3 linked regions of the Rattus norvegicus genome follow. The protein of the gene in region 1 interacts with the protein of each later gene in a pairwise test. Links are inferred from orthologs where the notes say so. Each region holds a gene or a part of one and is shown on either strand. Other genes may lie near its edges. The genes, in order: Pdlim7, Gem and Zmynd11.

The links.
Region 2: the proteins of Pdlim7 (region 1) and Gem interact in binary tests that used the Homo sapiens proteins (3 or more experiments, as listed by UniProt). The two-hybrid records come from large-scale screens. The link is inferred for Rattus norvegicus from reciprocal best matches to the Homo sapiens genes PDLIM7 and GEM.
Region 3: the proteins of Pdlim7 (region 1) and Zmynd11 interact in a two-hybrid assay, tested with the Homo sapiens proteins (2 studies listed by BioGRID). The link is inferred for Rattus norvegicus from reciprocal best matches to the Homo sapiens genes PDLIM7 and ZMYND11.

The regions. Positions count from the first base shown.
Region 1 is NC_086035.1:9,136,282-9,139,930, forward strand, and holds part of Pdlim7 (PDZ and LIM domain protein 7), read left to right. Parts: coding exon of another isoform or gene 1-19; exon of another isoform or gene 20-275; intron 276-686; coding exon 687-748; intron 749-893; coding exon 894-1,128; intron 1,129-2,168; coding exon 2,169-2,349; coding exon of another isoform or gene 2,350-2,411; intron 2,412-2,477; coding exon of another isoform or gene 2,478-2,594; exon of another isoform or gene 2,595-3,649. UniProt on the Homo sapiens protein: May function as a scaffold on which the coordinated assembly of proteins can occur. May play a role as an adapter that, via its PDZ domain, localizes LIM-binding proteins to actin filaments of both skeletal muscle and nonmuscle tissues.
Region 2 is NC_086023.1:30,010,249-30,013,997, forward strand, and holds the start of Gem (GTP-binding protein GEM), read left to right. Parts: upstream 1-1,392; 5' UTR 1,393-1,529; intron 1,530-2,845; 5' UTR 2,846-2,854; coding exon 2,855-3,182; intron 3,183-3,749. UniProt on the Homo sapiens protein: Could be a regulatory protein, possibly participating in receptor-mediated signal transduction at the plasma membrane. Has guanine nucleotide-binding activity but undetectable intrinsic GTPase activity.
Region 3 is NC_086035.1:65,268,976-65,272,642, forward strand, and holds the start of Zmynd11 (zinc finger MYND domain-containing protein 11), read left to right. Parts: upstream 1-745; 5' UTR 746-764; coding exon 765-880; intron 881-3,667. UniProt on the Homo sapiens protein: Chromatin reader that specifically recognizes and binds histone H3.3 trimethylated at 'Lys-36' (H3.3K36me3) and regulates RNA polymerase II elongation. Does not bind other histone H3 subtypes (H3.1 or H3.2).

The sequences.
Region 1 (3,649 bases):
GCTCAACGTGCAGTCCTAGCCTGGCCCTGCTCAGCCTGCTGCCCTCTGCTTTCTTCTCTCTTACTCCCTCCCAGGGCACCCCACGGGTGCCTCCAGCTCTCACCTACTGCTTTCACAGCCCTGGCCTGAACCTCCTGCTGGCCTGGTCCCGGCAGCCCGTCTGGCACAGGGCCTGGCTTCGTCTGACACTGCCTTCCTTCTTGGCCCTGTGGTACTGCTGTCTGCCAGGTCTGCGCTGCCTTGAGCGTGGGAATAAACATTCTCAGTCCTGCTTCCTTTGCCTCTGTCTCCCATCTTTTGGGTCTGGTTATGTTTTGGGTTTGGGATGCTAAATGGTTTAGACTTGGTATGGGTCCTGCAGCCTGCTTCTTGGTGGGAGGGAGTACCTAACCAAGATGCAGGGTGGCTCTGCCTTACCCATGGTTCTCCTGGATAAGGAGACCCAAGGCTTGCCCTAGGAGAAGGAGCACACTCTGCTTCCACACTCTACACAGCAGCCCAGATAGCTGTACCCTTCATAGGGGGGAGCACCCCTTCCTACCTCTAGCCCAGAGGGACCTAGAATACATCCCAGCAGTTCTTGATGCATTTAAGCATCACCCAAGGGGGCAGCACAGCTGAACTTAGGGGGTGGGACCATGCCCAAAGCCTCAGCCAGGCAGGGCCTTGAATGGCAGATCTTACAGCCAGGTGCCCAGGACAGAAGCCCCAGCCCCAGCCTCAACCATACCCCAGGAATCCTGGCCTGGTAAGACACTGGGCTTGGGGCTGAAGAAGGGTGGGTAGCCTCCATGGACATAGGGGTGGTGGGCTTTTAAGGCTACCCTGGGTTCTACCCTCTGCCCTTTGGGCTTCCTGAGTACCCCTCTGGATCTACTTTCTTTGGCTGTCAGGCCCCACCACCCCCAGCCCCACCAGCCGCCCACCCTGGGCCGTAGATCCTGCATTTGCTGAGCGCTATGCCCCAGACAAAACCAGCACAGTGCTGACCCGACACAGCCAGCCAGCCACACCTACGCCTCTGCAGAACCGCACCTCCATAGTTCAGGCTGCAGCTGGAGGGGGCACAGGAGGAGGCAGCAACAATGGCAAGACGCCTGTATGCCACCAGTGCCACAAGATCATCCGGTGAGTATTCCTTTCTAATGCTGATCTTTCCTGCCCTGTAACCTGACCCTGTCGTGTCTCATGTACCTATCCTACCTTTGCTGCTGCTCTAAGAGAGTTAAGGATTTGGTCTGGATCCTCAGATCTTTTTAAATTTTCGTGGTTTTGTATGTGGGTGTTTCAGTTGGATGTGTGTCTGTGCACCACTTGCATGCCTGGTGCCCACAGACACTGAGCAGGGGGTTGGATTCCCCTGGAATCAGATGGCATTTAGATGGCTGTGAGCCTTCGTGTGGGTGCTGGGAATCAAACCTGAGTCCTGCAGAAGAGCAGCCAGTGCTCTCAGCTGCTGAACCATCTCTGCAGCCCCCAATCCTCAGGTTCTTAATCTTGCACTTCCCACCACGCTCACACCCGGCTGTAGCAGGGGAAGCATGAAGGTGCTAGCAGCACCCTGAAGCAGTGTCTGTCGCTTCGCCGGCTCTCTGAATAAAGAAGGGCCTCCCTCTCTGCTGCTTCCTCCTCGGGCTTGCTCTCTGCCGAGCCTCTGCTCTCAGAACCGATAGGCCACACGTACCTCCCTCTGTACACTGCTTACTGGAACCCAGCCAAGTCACACAGCCCCCTCAGAGTCAGATTCCAGAGCCTTCCTAGTTGTTGGTCCTGTCCCTGGCCTGCTTGTTCTGCCCTCAGCTCTCAGGCAGAGAGGATTTGTAAAGCATCCCCTCCTTCTGACACCCCTGTTTAATCTCAGGCCTGCAGATGTCTGCTTAGGCCAAATGGAACAGGCAGTCAGGACTGGGCATTCATCAGGGTCTCATCATTTCTTCATCTTCACACTGGGCAGTAGTCCCCCAGGGGTGTCTTGGTAGACTCAAGCCATCAGCTTCCACCCAAACCAAGGTGCCTCTGTCATCAAGAGCGAGTATACGTTTGCCCCATCTTGCTTACATGAACAAGCAGCTCCTGTGAGAACAAGGGTCTTCTGAAGGGAGGAAACACCGCTCCTGTCTTCCTCCTGGAGCCCCTACCTCACTTGCATGCATTCCCTCTCCCTGCAGCGGCCGATACCTGGTAGCACTGGGCCACGCGTACCATCCTGAGGAATTTGTGTGCAGCCAGTGTGGGAAGGTCCTGGAAGAGGGTGGCTTCTTCGAGGAGAAGGGAGCTATCTTTTGCCCCTCCTGCTATGATGTGCGCTATGCACCCAGCTGTGCCAAATGCAAGAAGAAGATCACTGGAGTGAGTGGGGCTGGCAGGTGGGCAGGAGATGCAGGTGGGCAGGAGATGCAGGTGGGCAAGAGGTACAGGTGGGCAGGAGATGCAGGTGGGCAAGAGGGTGGAAGAGAGAGGTGAGCAGGTGGCAGGAGATGCAGGTGGGCAGGAGATGCAGGTGGGCAGGAGATGCAGGTGGGCAGGAGATGCAGGTGGGCAGGAGATGCAGGTGGGCAGAGGGGCAGAGGGCAAGGGAGAAAGTGAAATGTTAGCAGTGTTGAGCACTGTTGAGCAGCTGTTAGATGTGCAGTTCTCAGCAGGAATCCCCAGACTCCTAAACAGCCTAACAGCAGAGAGTGTAGCTCAGTGGTAGAGCACCTGTGTCACACGCACAAGGCCCTAGTTCTGTTTCTGGCAGCCTCATCAGGCACAGTGGCGTTGACTTCTAATCCCAGCACTCAGAAAGCAGAGGCAAGAGGATCATGACCGACAGCCCAGCCTAGGCTACGTAGTGAGACTGCCTAAAAAAAGCGGAAACATTCTATCAATGGCTTCACTTTATATCAGGCAGGATACTTTTCTTTTTTTTCAGTTCTTCTAGATGGGGTTTCTCTGTGTAGCCCTGGCTGTCCTGAAACTCGCTCTGTAGACCAGGCTGGCCTTGAACTCACAGAGATCCTCCTGCCTCTGCCCTCTAAGTCCCGGGATTAAAGGTGTACACCATTCCCGCCCCGCCAGCCAGGATATCTTAAAAGATCAGCTACTTGTTTATATTTTTATTTATTTTACCTGTATCAACTGTTTGGCCTGCACATGTGTATGTGCACCACATTCACACGACTGGTACTCTCAGAGGTCACAGGACACTGTCCTCTGGAATCACAGATGGCTGTGACTTACCGCGCGAGTGCTAGAAATGAAGCTCAGGTCCTCTTAACAACTGAGCCGCCATCTTCCCAGCCTAAAATACCAAACTCTTATTCAAAAAAAAAGCTTAAGCACAGGAAAGGAGCCAGCTTCAGGGACTGGAGGTGCTGACTCCAGATGCCTCTGAGCCTTGGCTCCGTGATCTCCTGAGTTTGCCTGTTTTTACCTTTTGTCGGTTTGGCCTTCCTTCAGTCACAGCATGCTTTCCTCTGGAAACCGGCAAGAGCAGTGCCACTCTGCCTGTGAGGTTCCATTTCCCCCGGTTAGCTCCATAGGAGAGAAAACACCTCAGTCCCACTCGACACCCAGCCGTCCCAGCACTGATGCTCATTGGCTTGGCTTGAGTCACGTAATCATTCCTGAAAGTTCCATGTGTCTGATTGGATGAGGCTGGGGTATG
Region 2 (3,749 bases), on another chromosome or scaffold:
CGGTGAGGAGCAGTATCCAAGCATTATGGTTCCAAGAATATACTTTCAGTTTGGCTGTCTCCTTCCTGAGTGGCCGTCATCCCTCTGGGACTCCACCTTTGAGACTAAGGCGCTCTAAATCTTTCTTATTCGGTGGATTCTACCTTTGCCAACTTGGTTCCTGACAGGCCTCAGAAGCTGGTCACTTGGATAATTCCCAGATCGCATAGATGCCTTCGGGAGAACTGGGACACCATTGTAACCACAGAGCAGCCCAGCCACTCCAACAGACAGTGGTGCTGGCTGTTTCTTGAGGAGTCACCGGCCAACCCACAGCAGACGCTGGCTGGAGAAGCAGATGGATTTGTTGGAAAAGCTAGCATGGAGTCTAAACACAGCATGTGGGAAATGCCCATGTCCTGGGGACGCTCATGTCCTGGGGAAGAGGCCACTTAGCAGTGCAGTTTAAAAGGTACTTAAACTAGGCTCTGAATGTTGCCTCTGCCTCCACCCTGACCTTAGGCAGGTTCCCTTGTAGCGAGACTTGTTCTCAGTCCACAACTGTAGTAAGGAGCAAGGTTCTCTGGGCCCACCAGAACCACAGGTCTTTGCAAGTCTTTGCAAAGGGTTGTAGCAATAGGACTCTCTGAGGGAATTGAGCCTGCTTCTCCCCATGGCTGGGAAGCCCTGGCTCCAGGCCACATCCAGCCATGCTAAGCAGCTCGGTTCTGAGATGCACCGATCGGGGTGTGATTAAATTTCTGATTGGCATTGTGGCCAGACCAGGAGGACAGCAGTGTTTAGCGCAAGCTGCTTGGAGCCAAACTGCCCTTTTTCAAGGTCTTCCCCACTCTTTTCTCTGGCCCGTTCTCTTTGGATCTCTGCAGGAAAAGGGAAACTGTGTGTCCCCAATCCAGAGAGAAGGTGACAGGAAGCAGGAAGGGCCTGGTTGCTTTTCAGAGCATGCTGTAAAGGTGGCCTGTCCACTCAGGTGGCTGTAGCCCCATCCTGGAGGCCGGAGTCCCGCTCACTCTGATGGGTCTGTTTTCTTGGCACAGCTGGACTCGCGACTCAGGCCTGCTTCTTTCCCCATCCTTTATTCAGACAGCTCACAAGTGCTCTGCTGGGAAGGGCGATTAAGATGCACTAAGTGTATTTTTCCAGTGTCCACCTGATAAAAAGAAAATAAAACAAAATCAAGGAGGCCAACGTTTGAACTGTCTTTTTTTCCCTCACACTCTCCTCAAGGGGCTAAGGGAGTCACATGACTACGAGTAAATGATTTAGCCAAGTGGCTGCAACTCCGAGTTTGCTGCAGAGCCGCCCCCTCCCGGCGGGAGCGCTGACGTCACGGAAAAGCCCCGTCGCGGGGCTGCCGGGCGCGCTATAAACGGCGGCGGGCCGCGGAGGCTTCAGGAGGCGGCACTGCCAGCGGACATCACACAGCCTTAGACTGCGGAACCCGCATCGGCAGGCGGCAAGCATTGCAGCAGGCAGCAGGCATTGTCCGGACCGACGGCAAACGCCCACCCAGCGCCCAGTACAGCCAAGTAAGGGGACATGGATGAGGGGCAGTCCCAGTGGGACCCTCCGCGGGAAGGGGCGTTCCTGGTCACTGAACTTTTTAAGTTGGGAAGGGAGACCCTAGACCATGAAGTCTGTGCCAGGGGTTCTCCCATAGGAGAAAGAAGTTCAGGTGCAAAGGATGCGCTTCTGATGGGGGTTCCTTAATTCAATTCCGGAGGAGTGTCACCTTACAGATTAGGTGGCCAGGCGGCAGACTTCAAGGTCTCAACACAACTCTGTCAACCCAGGGATTGTTTTTAAGATTTAAAAAGAAACCGGCTTGTTCTGTCTAGTGGTATAGGTGTCATGTGTGAGCGGAGTGCTATCCCTGCACTCACGCGCGGGGAGCTTGTTGAGTTAACCATGGAGTGGATGCTGCTGTGTTATCTCGGGCAGTCTTGGCAAAACGGACTGCCTGTCAGCAGGGGAGGCGGTCTTGCAAGGAGAAAGTTGTAGGAAGTTGAGTGGCTTTTCCCTGAATCTCTGACCTTCTGATTTACTTCAAAAAGGTGGAATTCTGAGCTAATTAAATCTTGGACTGGACAAGATTCCTTAAGAATGAAGCACTTTTTGTACAAGTTTGATGTATCTGAACGTGAGCAGGTCCTTCCCCTGTCAGAAGAACCAGGCTCAGGGCTGGTTATGCTAAACAGTATCTGTGGGTGAGAGAGCAGAGCTGAGGCATAAACCTCAAACTGTCCCACTCCCCAAATAACGGTCTCTTCAGGCAGCTGGAGAACATCAGGGCAACTTTACTAAACATGGAAGTTCCCCCAAAGCGCCTGTCCAGTCCAGCCAGGGGAGTGATGTCATTGCCACGTGTTTCCCACTGAGGCACAAAAGACTGCAGGACACTGGGCAGTGAAGAGCCCTGTTTAGACAAGAACAGCTAACCTGGCCAGCTGGTCCCTAGCAGTACTGACTTGTTGCTGATGGTAAAGCCATTTCTGGAGGCAATGGGTTCCTTCCAGATTCCTCTGTGCCAACTTCCAGTGGGATTTTCCTTCAAGGATGGAGGAAGCTTTTGAGCAATGGATGGTGTTACTGGTACTACAAATGACAGCCTGAGTGAGAAGCTAGTCACCGTGTGTGTGTGTGTGTGTGTGTGTGTGTGTGTGCGCACTCGCGCTGTTGTTGTTGTTGAAGACTTTGCTTGCCAGGCTTAGGAAGAGTTTCATGGTTGTTCCTTACGTTAAGAATTCATACCTATCCAGTGAAGAACCCCTGATGACAGTATTGAGACTCCCTGGGCCTGGCTCATTCTTAACAATGTCGCCATCTTTACTGCTCTGATTCCCAGGATCCCACAATGACTCTGAATAACGTCACCATGCGCCAAGGCACTGTGGGCATGCAGCCACAGCAACGCTGGAGCATCCCTGCTGATGGCAGGCATCTGATGGTCCAGAAGGATCCCCACCCCTGCAACCCCCACAACCACCACTCCACTGCTCCCGATGACCACTGCCGGCGGAGCTGGTCCTCCGAGTCCACAGACTCGGTTATCTCTTCCGAGTCAGGAAACACCTACTACCGAGTGGTGCTTATTGGGGAGCAAGGAGTGGGCAAGTCCACCCTGGCCAACATCTTTGCAGGTGTACATGACAGCATGGACAGCGACTGTGAGGTCTTGGGAGGTAGGTGGCCCAGTTCCCGGTGCTGTTCTGTCTTGTAAGCAGGAAGAGCAAGAGGGAGTGGGTCGTTTCCCTGCAGAATTGGGAGCCAGGCATAATGGTACACATTTGTAATCCCAGCACCGTGAAGGAAGAAGCAGAAGGACTAGGAAGTCAAGGTCATCTTCAGCTACATAGAGAGGTTTGAGGCTAGCCTGGGCTATGTGATTCTGTCTCAAAAAACCAACAAATTAAAACAAAACGTTATCTTCAGAATTAGGGGAGAAACGCATGCCTTCTCAGTACTGAGATGGGAGACAGAAACCTACCTACTGGCACAGAGCCCAGCGCGCGCGCGCGCGCGCGCGCGCACACACACACACACACACACACACACACACACACACACAGAGGAATATGTGTACACAGTGACCCAAGTTATCAAGAGGCTTTCTGAAGGTCAGGTCTGGGAGGTTCCAGAAAGGCTGACTCTGCCCTGGACCAGTTTTGGAGAGTTCATCACCACAGATAATTTTCCTGTGACTATGCATAAAACCAAACTGATTTTGGGGGAAAGAGACCTGTTAGAGT
Region 3 (3,667 bases), about 56 Mb from region 1:
GATTATTAGTTCTGAAATGAACACCTATTCTGGCAGTTGGGTCATTACTGATAATTTGTGATCTGGTATCCTAGCTCTTGGCCTTTCATATTTTACCTCAGAACAACTTGGATTCTCTATTCATTGTTTGTTTCTTGCTATGCAGTTCTGACTGGCATGGAACTCACTTTAGATCAGGTTGATTTTGAATTTGTGCTAATTCTTGTGCTTCCACCTCCTAAGTGCTTGGACTGCAAGTGTGCTGCACCATGCACCATCACCATGTCTGGCTATTGCTTGTTTTTTTTTATACATTGGTTTCATATGTATATAAAACCGAATTCTCTAAAGCTATGATCATAAAAACCTGAAATACCAAACAATTATGACCTATAAATTCCATTGTGCACTGCTTGATTTCACACAGTGTAATGCTGAAGTCTGGTGTGGTTTAGAATAAACATTAAATGCCTTTATTTATCTATTGATTGATTGATTGACATTGGAAAGAGGTAAACTTCTCCTAGCTTTTTAAGTGCCTTTTAAAGTGATTTGGATTTTAGATTATTCTTTATAGAGGTAACCAAGTGAATGCTTGCTTTTATTAGGTAGAAGTGCAACTTGAAAGGTAGAAAATGGAAAGCCACAACACCACATTTCACTTAAGAATGACCAGCGTCAGGCAGTGCTGTGACTGTGGCTCCTGTGTTGGAAATTCCCTCGGTAATCCATGTTTTCTGCCTTATGTTTTTATATATTGCTACAGCTAAAGAAGTAAACAGGTCATGGCACGTTTAACAAAAAGACGACAGGCGGACACAAAAGCTATCCAGCATCTTTGGGCAGCCATTGAAATTATCAGGAATCAGAAGCAGATTGCCAACATTGATCGTATTACAAAGTAAGTAAATTTAAACAAAAGCACCACTGTAAAGTCCCCAAATGCCTTATCTTCTGTGCAGTTCATACAAGGAACTAAAGTGACGGTTGCCTTGCAGAAGACTACAGAACAGGAACAATAGCAGAAACACATATAGACAATTTGTATTTAGAAGCCTTGTAAATGAATGTTAGCTAAGTAAAGATCAGTATAGTCTGCTTATAGTAGATTTTCAATTATACATTTTTTTGCCCTAAGAAAATTTTATTTAAAAGGATTATTAAGACATTTGCTTTATTGTAGTGAAGCTGTCTAAACAAAAGCTTTTGTTCATGGCTTATCTCAATGGAGATGAACAGGCTTCATATAGTAAATAATATTTTGAGTACTTTATAACTAGAATAAATGAGATTGAACACACATTCAGTTAAAAAAGAAAACTCCCCTTTCCTTTTCTCCTTAGTTTCAGTGCTATTTGTCTTAGTAGACAAAGATTCAGTATAGCAAAACATCTTTTTGCTTATTTTGTATTATGAAGGCAGTTAGGAGTTTGATTCTCTTTTAATTCTCTGAATGCTCTTTTAAAAGTAAAGCTGATGTAACATTTTAACAGCTTATGTGATTTTTTTTTGTTAATTTGAATAGAATCTTTTAATTCTCATCCTGCCTTATATTTGTTAGATGGTATCTAAAAATTAAAAGTAAGAGATTTATAATAGCTGACTTACACCGTGCTTTGGAACTGTTATTAATAGGTAATGGAGTTGAACCCCATGCATTCTTAACATTGTCCCCATATTTGAAGATGAAGAGGCTTCCTGAAGTCAACTGCAGCCCTACCTCCTTTGGGCTAAAGAAAGAAAACGATGCCCCCAAATGTGGAAAAGATGACTAAATAAATAGTACATTGCTTTAATTATTACTTAATACATATTTTATTTTTAAAAAGCAAGCACTTTGAGAGCTGGTAACTAAGTACAGAATAGCGGGTGATACTAATACAGATAGTTTTCAAAAACCGCCGGCTGGGGATGTAACATGGATCAGTGGTAAACGCATATTTCACAGGTGAGACCCTAGGCTCAATTCCCTTCCCTGGGTTAAAAATAAATCGCAAACAATAAAGATACTAAGTATGTCCTTGAGATTTGTAAAAGCCATAGCTGAAATTTTTATAGCAGAACATTGAAATTAAAAAATAAGATCCTGTAATTTGTATCAAAAATTTAAGGCATTCTTAAGCGTGCACATTTGAACAGTTTCAGTTGCTCACATGGTTACCTCTCTTTTCCTTTGTGGTGTTTCTCGGGCATCTCAGGGCACCTACTAAGCACTCCAGGAGTCTCATCAGGAGTGCTGCTGTTAGGCTGGGTGACCTGCTGGTGTAGGAGGGAAAGGGCTAACGCTTTTAGTAATCGTGCATGCATCTGCTGGCTACTTAACACATACGAGTGCATGTTTGGCATAGGTGAAACTAGTGAACACCACAGAGACAGTCATTGGGACCATACATATCTCCTTTGAATCATGGATCATAATGAGATTTGACTTTTCCTCTTTTTTCATCAGTATAACTTCGAATGGTAACCCAAGCCATATTTACTTTTTGCTTAAGCTCTATAATTCTTAAATACAGATAAATTTGTTGACCAGCAGGTGGTCATGAATTATAAGTCTCCTCTTAAAAATCCATGAAGCAGAGGACTGCCTAGGAAATGCCCCACACAGTGCCTTGCCTCTTGGCTGATGCCACTTCCCTGGATGTCCCACTGCGTGAGGCTGGCTAGGAAGCAGCACTGGTGGTGGCAGCAAGTAGGTCTGCTCTGCGATCTGGGATTCCTGCTCTGCACTGTTAGAAGGTCAGGAATCAAGATGCTCCTCTTCCTTCATGTCAGAACACAAGGTATCTTTTAAATTTAAAATTACCTTACTTTACCCAAGCCCCCCAGGCAAGTTCCTGTTAAGACCTTGTTTGCTATTTCTGTGACTGGTGAGCAGCCCATTGTTAAAAATTAAGTAAAAGACATGCATTAAGAGTTCTGGCCTTTGACATTACTGGTGTATAGCCTGGTATTTCCTTAAGTATCTTGTCTAGTCTATGTAATGCTGTGGTTCTGCCTGTATCTTGTTTTCGTTATTTTAATCTATAAATTCCACAGCCATCTTCATTCTGATTCTGTCACTGTGCTCTGATGGCTCAAGTGTGACCCCACACTTGAATTCTTTGAATTTCATGGGACTGTGGCTGTGGGCAGGCTGTATAGATGGACTGTGCTCTACTGTAGGGACACATGTTAATGAAGACATTTCTACTTCTGAGATATTTACAGCCATTCATGCTAGATCTGAGTAGTAGTTTGTTTCATCTCTGTGCTTCTAGCTAGAGTGTTTTCCTGGGGATAAGCTTCTCTGTACCTGCCATGTGGTTGCATGCATAGTTCACAGCAGAAAAGGATGTTCCCGTTACCATGTTTAAAAATGGCATTCTTACTTGATGACTGCGCCCTTCTAAGTACCATTGGAATTCACACACCAACTATGTTTGTCATGCTTCCATCCATTTCATGTACCATATACTTTTACACATAAGTGCACACGTGCTATGGAATTCACACATCAACTATGTTTGTCATGCTTCCATCCACTTCATGTATCATGTACTTTTACACATACGTGCACACGTGCTATGGAATTCACACACCAACTATGTTTGACATGCTTCCATCCATTTCATGTATCATGTACTTCTGTGCACACATGCACACACACTATTGCTTATTTTTTATTTAGTATGCTGGATTTTGTTTT